Macaca fascicularis: one gene and its partner. The protein of the gene in region 1 interacts with the protein of each later gene in a pairwise test. Links are inferred from orthologs where the notes say so. Each region holds a gene or a part of one and is shown on either strand. Other genes may lie near its edges. The genes, in order: PRR3 and ASF1A.

Region 1 (4,285 bases):
GTGCATACCTGTAATCCCAACTACTCAGGTAGCTCAGGCATGAGAATTGCTTGAACCTGGGAGGCAGAGGTTGCAGTGAGTCGAGATTGCACCACTGCACTCCAGCCTGAATGACAGAGTGAGATTGTCAAAACAAAAAATAAAAATAAAGTCAAATTCAAAGAAACAGTAGAATGGTCGTTACTAGATGCTGGGGGAAGGAAGACAGAAAGGGGGAGTTTTGTTTAATGGGTACAGAGTTTCAGTTTTGCAAGATAAGAAACTTTTGGAGATCGGGCATGGTGGCTTACGCCTGTAATCCCAGCACTTTGGGAGGCCAAGGCAGGTGGATCATGAGATCAGGAATTCGAGACCAGCCTGGCCAACATGATGAAACCCTATCTCTACTAAAAATACAAAAATTAGCCAGGTGTGGTGGTGGGCACCTGTAATCCCAGCTACTCAGGAGGCTGAGGCAGGAGAATCGCTTGAACCCAGAAGCCGGAGGTGGCAGTGAGCCGAGATCGCGCCACTGCACTCCAGCCCAGGCAACAGAGCGAAACTCCATCTCAAAAAACAAACGAACAAAAACTTGGAGATCTGTTTCACAACAATATGAATATACATAACACTACTGAACTGTACACTTAAAAATAGTTAAAATGGTAAATTTTATGTGTTTTTTGCCACAATAAAAAGCAAACAAAACGAGGCATGATGACTCATGCCTGTAATCCCAGCACTTTAGGAGACCAAGGTGGGAGGATCACTTGAGCCCAAGAGTTCAAGACCAGCCTGGGCATGTGGCAAGACCCAATCTCTCATTAAATAAATAATAACCAAACAAAATAACCACCACTTTTCACACTCACCAGAATGGCAAAATTTAAAAATCTAACAATTCTAAGTGTTGCCAAGGCTATAGGACAACTACTGGTGGGAGTGCAAATTGCTATAACCACTTTGAAAAAAAATTTGGCATTATATGTGAAACTTGAGCATAACATATACTTTATAACCCAGCAATACCTCTACTATGTATATACTCAACAGAAATGCATACGTATGTGTAACAACATGTATAAAAATGTTTATAGTGGCATTTCTCGTTATAGCCCCAAACTGGATACCACCCACATGTCCATCATCAGTAGAATGGATAAATAAGTTGTTGTGTATGCATGCAATGGGACTACACTGCAACGAAAATGAATGAACTACTGCTACAGGCAACCTGGATGAATCTCACAAACATGATGTTGAGCGAAAGGAGCCAGACATAAAAGAATGCAGACTGTATGATTCCATTTTTGTGAAGTTCAAAAACAGGCAAAAACTAACCTATGGTGTCAGGATAGTGGTTACCTTTGGGGAGGAGGGTGGGTAATGGGAAAAGGGGCACAAGGGGAGGATCTTTTGAGGTGCTAATAAGGCTTTATCTCTTCACCTGGTGGTGGAAACTCAAGTGTGTCTACTTTGTGATAATTGGGTTGTGCACTTAAAACTGGTGTGTCTTTAAAACCGCTGTTCTTCAATAAAAAAAATTTTTTAAATCAGGGCTTATCAGGATTCAGCTGCCCATTGGTCACCTTTCTGTGTCTTTCTTTCTCTCTCTGTCTCTCTCTCTCTCTCCAGCTCTTCACAGAGGTCCTCCAGGATCAAGGGGACCACTGATTCCACCACTGCTGAGTCTCCCACCTCCTCCTTGGGGTAGAGGCCCAATTCGGAGAGGCCTTGGCCCCAGGTCTAGCCCATATGGTCGTGGTTGGTGGGGAGTCAATGTTGAACCTCCTTTTCCGGGGCCAGGTCATGGGGGTCCCACCAGGGGAAGCTTTCACAAAGAACAGAGAAACCCTCGAAGGCTCAAAAGCTGGTCTCTTATCAAGAATACCTGCCCGCCCAAGGATGACCCCCAGGTTATGGAAGGTGAGGTCCATTTTGTTACGCCCATAACTCCCAGAGTGACCTAATTTTCAGAAGATCATTCATGATCTTCTTTGGGCTTTCCTTTTTGCTTTTGAAGCAGAAGTAGACCTGAATGTTATTTCTCCCAGGAGAAAAACTACCATTCCAAAATACCTGGAAATGGTAGGGGGTAGAAAATCAGTTCTCCTTCTGTCTCTGCTTTTCATCATATTTGTTTTCTTTGTTGCTCAAATTTTTAACTTTAATTTTCACTTGTTCACAGACAAATCCGACCGCCCTGTCTGCCGACATTTTGCCAAAAAGGGTCACTGTCGATATGAGGACCTCTGTGCCTTCTACCATCCAGGCGTCAATGGACCTCCTCTGTGAGACTGTGCCTTCCCATCCAGGCTGGAAGGAGCTCTCTGTGACCTAGCGGCCATGTATTTCTCTGTAGCCCTGTAATGGCTACTGTGAGGCTCTTCCAACACCCTCTGTCAGTGACACACCCACCCCATCCACCACCTCCCCAGTTTGGGGTCCAGAGTTGTGTTGCGTCACTGGTGCGCGGTGTATGCGCTTTCTTCTGATCCAGCCTTTAGAGACTTGCCTTTGGGACCCATCTTTGCTCCCTTAAGTTGCCTCCTGGATCTTCTTTCCCATCATCAAATGACTGCTGAACAGGAAACCTCTTTGGTGCTGTTTCTTGTGCATCTGTCCACCTGTTCCCCAGTACTGCCCTCAATTCCTGAGAGCCCTGGAGCGGTTTCCTACCATTCCCTTCTTTTAGCTGCTTGTTTTAAGTCCTTTTTATGTGACATTCCCTACCCCCAATGTTGTCAGCTGCTTATGAAACTCAGCCAGGTTGTCTAACCTGGGGTCAAGTTTGGGTGACTGGTGCAGAGTTACTTCCTAAAAGGCCACTCTCCCTGCTTTTGGATTTCGTAGTTTCTCTGTCAGTAGCATGATCCCCACCACCGTGGTCTATGATCACCGTGCTTTGTGAAACTGTGCATCCCCTTGTAGCCTCTCTCAGTGTCTGTGGCATTTTTGTGACTTCCCAGCACTAGAATAAGTTTTCCTGCCAAAACGAGTGAGGTGCTTGACGCCCTCTGGACTTTCCCACTTCCCAACATGGAAGAATTGTGAACTTTCCATCAGACTGCCTCCCTGGCCCTCCCCATTCTTCTCCTGTTGGTTACTCTGGGTCTGACACAGGCCCATGAGATGTCTTATAAAGCCTCCAATGGCTTTATCCTACCTAGATCCCTTCCAGCCCATTTTACTTAGACTATGTCATTGTGAGACCACCAGTCCTTTCATTTGAATTCTGTGAATCTCCACCTTGCCTATCTTTGGGTGGAACCTGGACAGTACTGTCGCCTTCTTCCAACCCTCTTCCCCTACATCCCTGGCACTGGTTGTTTTCTGTGAAAACAGCAGTGAACAGGTTCAGTTTTGAACTGGCCCTGAGGAAACAGGTCAGGAGTTGTATTGGCAAGAGGGAGGGATGAGAGTTGTTGGAGAACTGAGAATGAGGTGTTTTTTTTTTTTTTTTTTAACATTTTTTTATATTAGTAATAAATGCAGTGGAAACCAGCATTTTCTTTAATCCCTGTGTTCTAGTCATCTCTGGAGGTACAGATGAAGCTGTTCTCACCTGGTGGAGTCAGCTCATTCTTTAGTTCATACACACTAGTGATGGGGAATGACAAAGCTTAAGGTTCTTCCAGGCTGAAAAAACCAATGGAGGTTCCATTGGCCTGTAGGCATCAACCAGACCAAGCTGCCTTATGTTCAAGGGCAAAGTTTTGTAAGAAAAAGGAAAGGCCAGGTGTCTGTGGAGTTATTTTTAAATATTTTACTTGGCAGAGTTTGTGTTTATGGAGTGGTAATGATGAAGGAGTCTTTCAGCAGCAATTTGCAGAGTGCCTGTGGGCCAGGCAATATACTAAGCACTAGAGATAACTGACAGCCAAAGCCAATGGATTTAAAATGTACAAGGAAGACAGGTTTCTCATAACCACAAATAGCATGTAAAGTTAAACCTGCCAAAAGTGCTGGGAAGAAGACAGGGTGAAACGGAGTTGTGTAATAAAGGGAGTCGGGGAAGGAGATGCAACTGAGACAAGCTCCAAAGGATAAACAGGAGGTGGGGTGGGAAAGGGGAGTCAAGGCCAAGGTCTTAGCTAAAAGACCTAGGGGAAAAGGAGCTAAGAAACCTAGGGACAGTGGGAGATGATGCAGAAGAAAGGGAGTTAGACCACTCAGGGCCTTGGAGAACATGAGGATTTGGCTCTTTTCTTAGAACAGAAGCCTTTGAAGAATTTTAGACGGGAGTATCATGGCTTAGGCTGGCTTTTCAAAAAAATCAGCTTGTATGAAGAGGGCCCACCTTGGA
Region 2 (4,607 bases), about 120 Mb from region 1:
GAGTACCTGTAAGAATCACACAGCTGCATACACCAGTCTCACAGGAGTTTTAATCTTCAAATGGTCATTTTACCTTACACATACAGAGTGTCTTACAGCATATAGCAATTTCCACTTTATCTTAGCTAGTGTTAGAACCAGCACCAATAACAATGAAGAGTATATGGTTTATCAGTCACAAAAATCTGTGTCTATCACCATGGTTTGACTCTTAATACTCTAATGTCACAAACAACTGGCTTGAAGAAGTCTTTCCTGGTAGGTCCTATATCTAACTGTTCAATCCATGACAAAAAAAGGGAACTCTTCCCCACTCTAACTGGTCTTCCTAAATGTAGGAGGGGCTGACATTAGCTGTCTCACATTAACTTTCAAAAGACCATCAGATGAAAACGTTTCATCAGAAGCCACCTACTTAAGTATGAACAATGCCCAAAGAATGACAAATCAAAATTCTGGGCACTATCCTAAGAGAAAACTCTTCCAGAACAGATACTTCAGAATTAATTTTCTCTCTGAATTTGGCCAAGTTTGGTGGTTTCATTCACAACATTTAAGGAAAAAAGTGACGGTTTATGGATAGCAAGTAATAAAAACAAATCTTTATACCACTTACTAGTAATAGAAACGGTTTAGGCTCACAAATGTGTTTAAAGCTTTCTCTTTCCCCGCAATGGTAGTCAAACAGCATAAACGAATCAACATTTCCTCAGTTCAGATCTCAACTGGTTACAGGCAAGCAAGGGCTCCTCAGAATTTGCTTTACTAATGGTTTAGGTCAGAAATTTTTTTGAAGATCAAATGTCTTGGTATGTCTTCGTGTTCTTTTTCCCATCTCTATTATGTGTGTTGCCCTGTTGGTCTCCTGACACTTCCATTTTCTCCTTTTATGTTCCTGCTATGCTCTCCCAATGGCAGTAACCTAGGGTATAACTGATCACACCTCTTGTGATTTTTTTCTTATTCTAGGACTTTCCAGATCTGGACTCCGAAGAAGACGCCCAGGTGTAAGCCCAAAGGTTACCTATTTAAATTTTCCAAGCACAGTGTGTGGAAAATCATTCCTCGCCCTTCATTTTGTGTTGCTTAACGGCGCTGTCGTGCCTAAACGTAGATACTGGCCAAGAGCTAGATTTCCAAAATGGCTTTGCTCCTTTCGAGCTGACATCGGTCTATAACATGCAATTTATTTCCCCTGCAGGCAATCTTTTTCTCTACTCCAACTACTACCCGATACACAGAAAGCTGAACCTAACCCAGTGTAAACACCGATTCTCATCTGCTAAATTCAGCAAGGCCGGCAAAGCTGTTGCAATGATGTAAAAAGAGCGTTAAAAAATTAAAAAAAAAAAAAAAACCACAAAAAAACACAAAAAAACAAAAAACGCCAAAACACCCACACGAAGCCAACCGGAGGGGCGGGCGTCGGCCGAATCGCGCCCTCCCGCCGCGGCCACGCCTCCCCGCCGCGGCCACGCCCCCGCCGCCCCTCTCCGCGCCGCCGCCGGCGGCCTCCGCGCGGGCCTCCCAGCCCTTATTCCACTCACTTTGTTCTCCGCCTTTGTCCTAATCCACACCAGCAGGTGGAGCCGCAGTTAAAGTTTCCGAGTCCATTCCGGGAGCGGGAGCCCATCTTGCTGGCTGCGGAGGCCCTCGCTGGAGGAGGAGGGTCAGAGCTCGGGTGCAGCCAATCGAGGGCAACGCTGCTACTTATCAGAGCAGAATGGGCTGTAGTTTAGTGAAATAGGAAAGCTGCAAAACACTGTGGAGTGCTCCCGTGTAAATAAAAAGAGGAAAAAAAAAGTTTCTCAAGTCGCCGCTGCACAACGTCGGGCCGGCGCTGGGGCGGGGGTCTGCGCTCTCCCGAGCGGCCGCGCGCTGGACTTTATTGTGCCGCAACCAGCCCCAGTTCCCATTGTTTGTGTTTTTTTCAAAATATGGCAAAGGTTCAGGTGAACAATGTAGTGGTGCTGGATAACCCTTCTCCTTTCTACAACCCGTTCCAGTTCGAGATCACCTTCGAGTGCATCGAGGACCTGTCTGAAGGTGAGTGCGGCGCCCGTGCGCCCGGGCTGTCAGTTGCGGGCTGCAGACGTTGAAAGTTTCCCGGGCCCGGCCTCGCGCTGGGCGGCTGTGTTCGGCGCCTGGCGGCCGCGGGCTGCTCTGCGGAGGGAAACTTCAAGTTGATGGTCGACGGCCGCCGAGGCGCGCGCGGCTTTCCGCCGCAGCCCAGGCGCCTGCCGGGCTCAACTTGCGAGGAACTTGTTTGAGCGGAGGAGCGGAGGTAGCCATGTTGTCAGCTTTGTCTGCGGGCGGGCAGCTCGGAGACCCGCACTCGCGCCCGCGGCGCCTCCTGGGGTCGCGCCGGGCTGGCTTAGCGCCGCCAACAGCTTCCGCGACCCTCCGGGCCCGGGCACGGAGGCTGGGAAGGGAGAGGCTGTGCGTGTGGTCGCGCCGGCGAGTTCGGAGCGGAGCCATCTTACCCCAGTCGAGAATTGGGCCAGCGACCCCGGCGCACGGCGCCTCTTCTCGCCCCTTCGCCCGCCTGCCCGCGGCGAAAGGGAGGCAGTAACTCTCGAGAGCTCACGGTGGAGTCGCCGCACTCTCCGGGCTGGCCATGCCTGGCCGCTTCGGGGAGGAGAGCGAGGCTGTCCTCGCGCTGATTTCTGGCTTCCTCGACCAACCAGCGGGGGAGGCGGGCGCAGGCTCGGCCCCTCCGCGCCGCGGGCTGGGCGCCGGCACTCCCCGGGGGCCGCGGGTCCTGTTCGGCCGGTCCTCTTCGGCCGGTGCCCGGGATGCGCCGGGATGCTGGCGCGCAGGCTCCCCAACCAACGTGGACTCCTTTCTCCTAATGACGAAAAGCTAATCTCAGGAAGAGAGAGAGAGCTGAGCTAGGAAGTTACATTTAACCTAAGAGCAGAAATAAGATACTTAAATAATTTCCAGGACTTAATCTCTGCCTTCTAAATAGTCTGAAAGAAGACTTTCTTCAAGAGCGTGTTGAAATGTAAAATAACTCCACATCCAGATGCAGAACACACCCTAAACATAAAACACAAACGTAGGCTAGGAAATTAAGCTAAACTCCTCATGTCAGTCCAAGAATTCCTGGTATTTTTTCTACATATATTTTAAGGTCTTAAAAATACGTATTCTTAATATGTTTAGTAATATTTAGAAAGCTAAAACAACAATTATCTTTGCTTTAATTATATTTTACTAAAGTAATTCAGTGCTTCATTTGCCAGTTTTGAAGGGGAAATAGTTTAACTTCATCGATGAGGGGCATACTTCTTTGAACTAGAAGTGTATTTTTAAAATGCTCTGAAGATGATTTGGCTAATCGTGGCATGTAAAACTTTTCATTTTAAAAACTAGTTTTTAATCTCTAAAATGTATGTATCATATGTAAGGTTAATTTTAATTATAAAACAATATATATCATTGTAATAAACTTTTAGAAAGTTGTACAGGCATATATAAAGTTAACAGTTCTCTGTACTCAATGCCTTCCCCTATCTCCTTTAGGTAATCACAATTACTACTTTAACATGTGCCCCTCTGTGGGGGTTTTTTTTTTTTTGGTAAACCTATATAGAGCATAAATGCACATACATATATAGGGCAAATTTTGAAAGATGATTCATTTATTAAAATAATTTCAAATAGGCCATTGATAACACTTAGGGGTATTTTTCTTATTACTCTGAAGTCATCTGTATGATACTACTATTAATATAAGCATTGCAGCTACCAGGCCCATTTTTCACACCCAACAGTCAGTAATTTTTTTTTTTTAATTGCCAACTGCATATAAAAATAGACAAAAGAAAAACCATTGATCGGTCCATTCCAACTTACACCACAGTGTTTTTCAAGTATACCACCAGAAGTTCTTCAAATTACAGGTATTTCTCAAGTGATGCCTTCCATTTTAGGAGTCAGCTCTGAACAAAGAAGATAGATGACTCAGGATGTCGTTACAGGGCTTTTACATTGCATAGATGAAACCAGCCATTCATAAAGCCAAAACAGGTTCCATTTTTAACTGGGATCCATTCAGAACCCAGCTGAATCACATCAGGGTTTTACAGTACTGGTATCAAAAATATACTTATTTCCAGTGGTATATTTCACTTCCTAGGCACCATTACTGAGCATTTATTTAGTATTTTAAAAAATATTTTAAGCTGAGTCATACTGAAGCTGCAAAGGAATCTTTCAAAAAGGTGCCATGCCTGTATACTCCACCTAGAGGCTATGTGGATTAAGGAAATTGAGTTTACTTAGCAAAGGCTTCTTATAGGTTCCATACTTCTATATTATAGTTCTTTTAAAAATTCTGTTCTTAAACTATAGAATTTTTTTTTTTTTTAAATGAGACAGTCTGGCTCTGGCACTCAGGCTGGATGGAGTGCAGTGGTGCAAACACAGCTACCTGCAGCCTCAACCTCCTGGGCTCAAGCAATCCTCCCACCTCAGCCTCCTGAGTAGCTGGGACCATAGTCAATGTGCCACCACACTGGGCTAATATTTTAATTTTTTGTAGAGATGGAGTTTTGCCATGTTGCCCAAGCTGGTCTCAAACCCCTGGGCTCAAGCAGTCC

The links.
Region 2: the proteins of PRR3 (region 1) and ASF1A interact in binary tests that used the Homo sapiens proteins (3 or more experiments, as listed by UniProt). The two-hybrid records come from large-scale screens. The link is inferred for Macaca fascicularis from reciprocal best matches to the Homo sapiens genes PRR3 and ASF1A.

What each region holds. Positions count from the first base shown.
Region 1 is NC_088378.1:142,092,547-142,096,831, reverse strand, and holds the end of PRR3 (proline-rich protein 3), read left to right. Parts: intron 1-1,094; coding exon of another isoform or gene 1,095-1,133; exon of another isoform or gene 1,134-1,535; intron 1,536-1,614; coding exon 1,615-1,905; intron 1,906-2,167; coding exon 2,168-2,274; 3' UTR 2,275-3,493; downstream 3,494-4,285.
Region 2 is NC_088378.1:22,822,512-22,827,118, forward strand, and holds the start of ASF1A (histone chaperone ASF1A), read left to right. Parts: upstream 1-1,740; 5' UTR 1,741-1,937; coding exon 1,938-2,046; exon of another isoform or gene 2,047-2,688; intron 2,689-4,607. UniProt on the Homo sapiens protein: Histone chaperone that facilitates histone deposition and histone exchange and removal during nucleosome assembly and disassembly.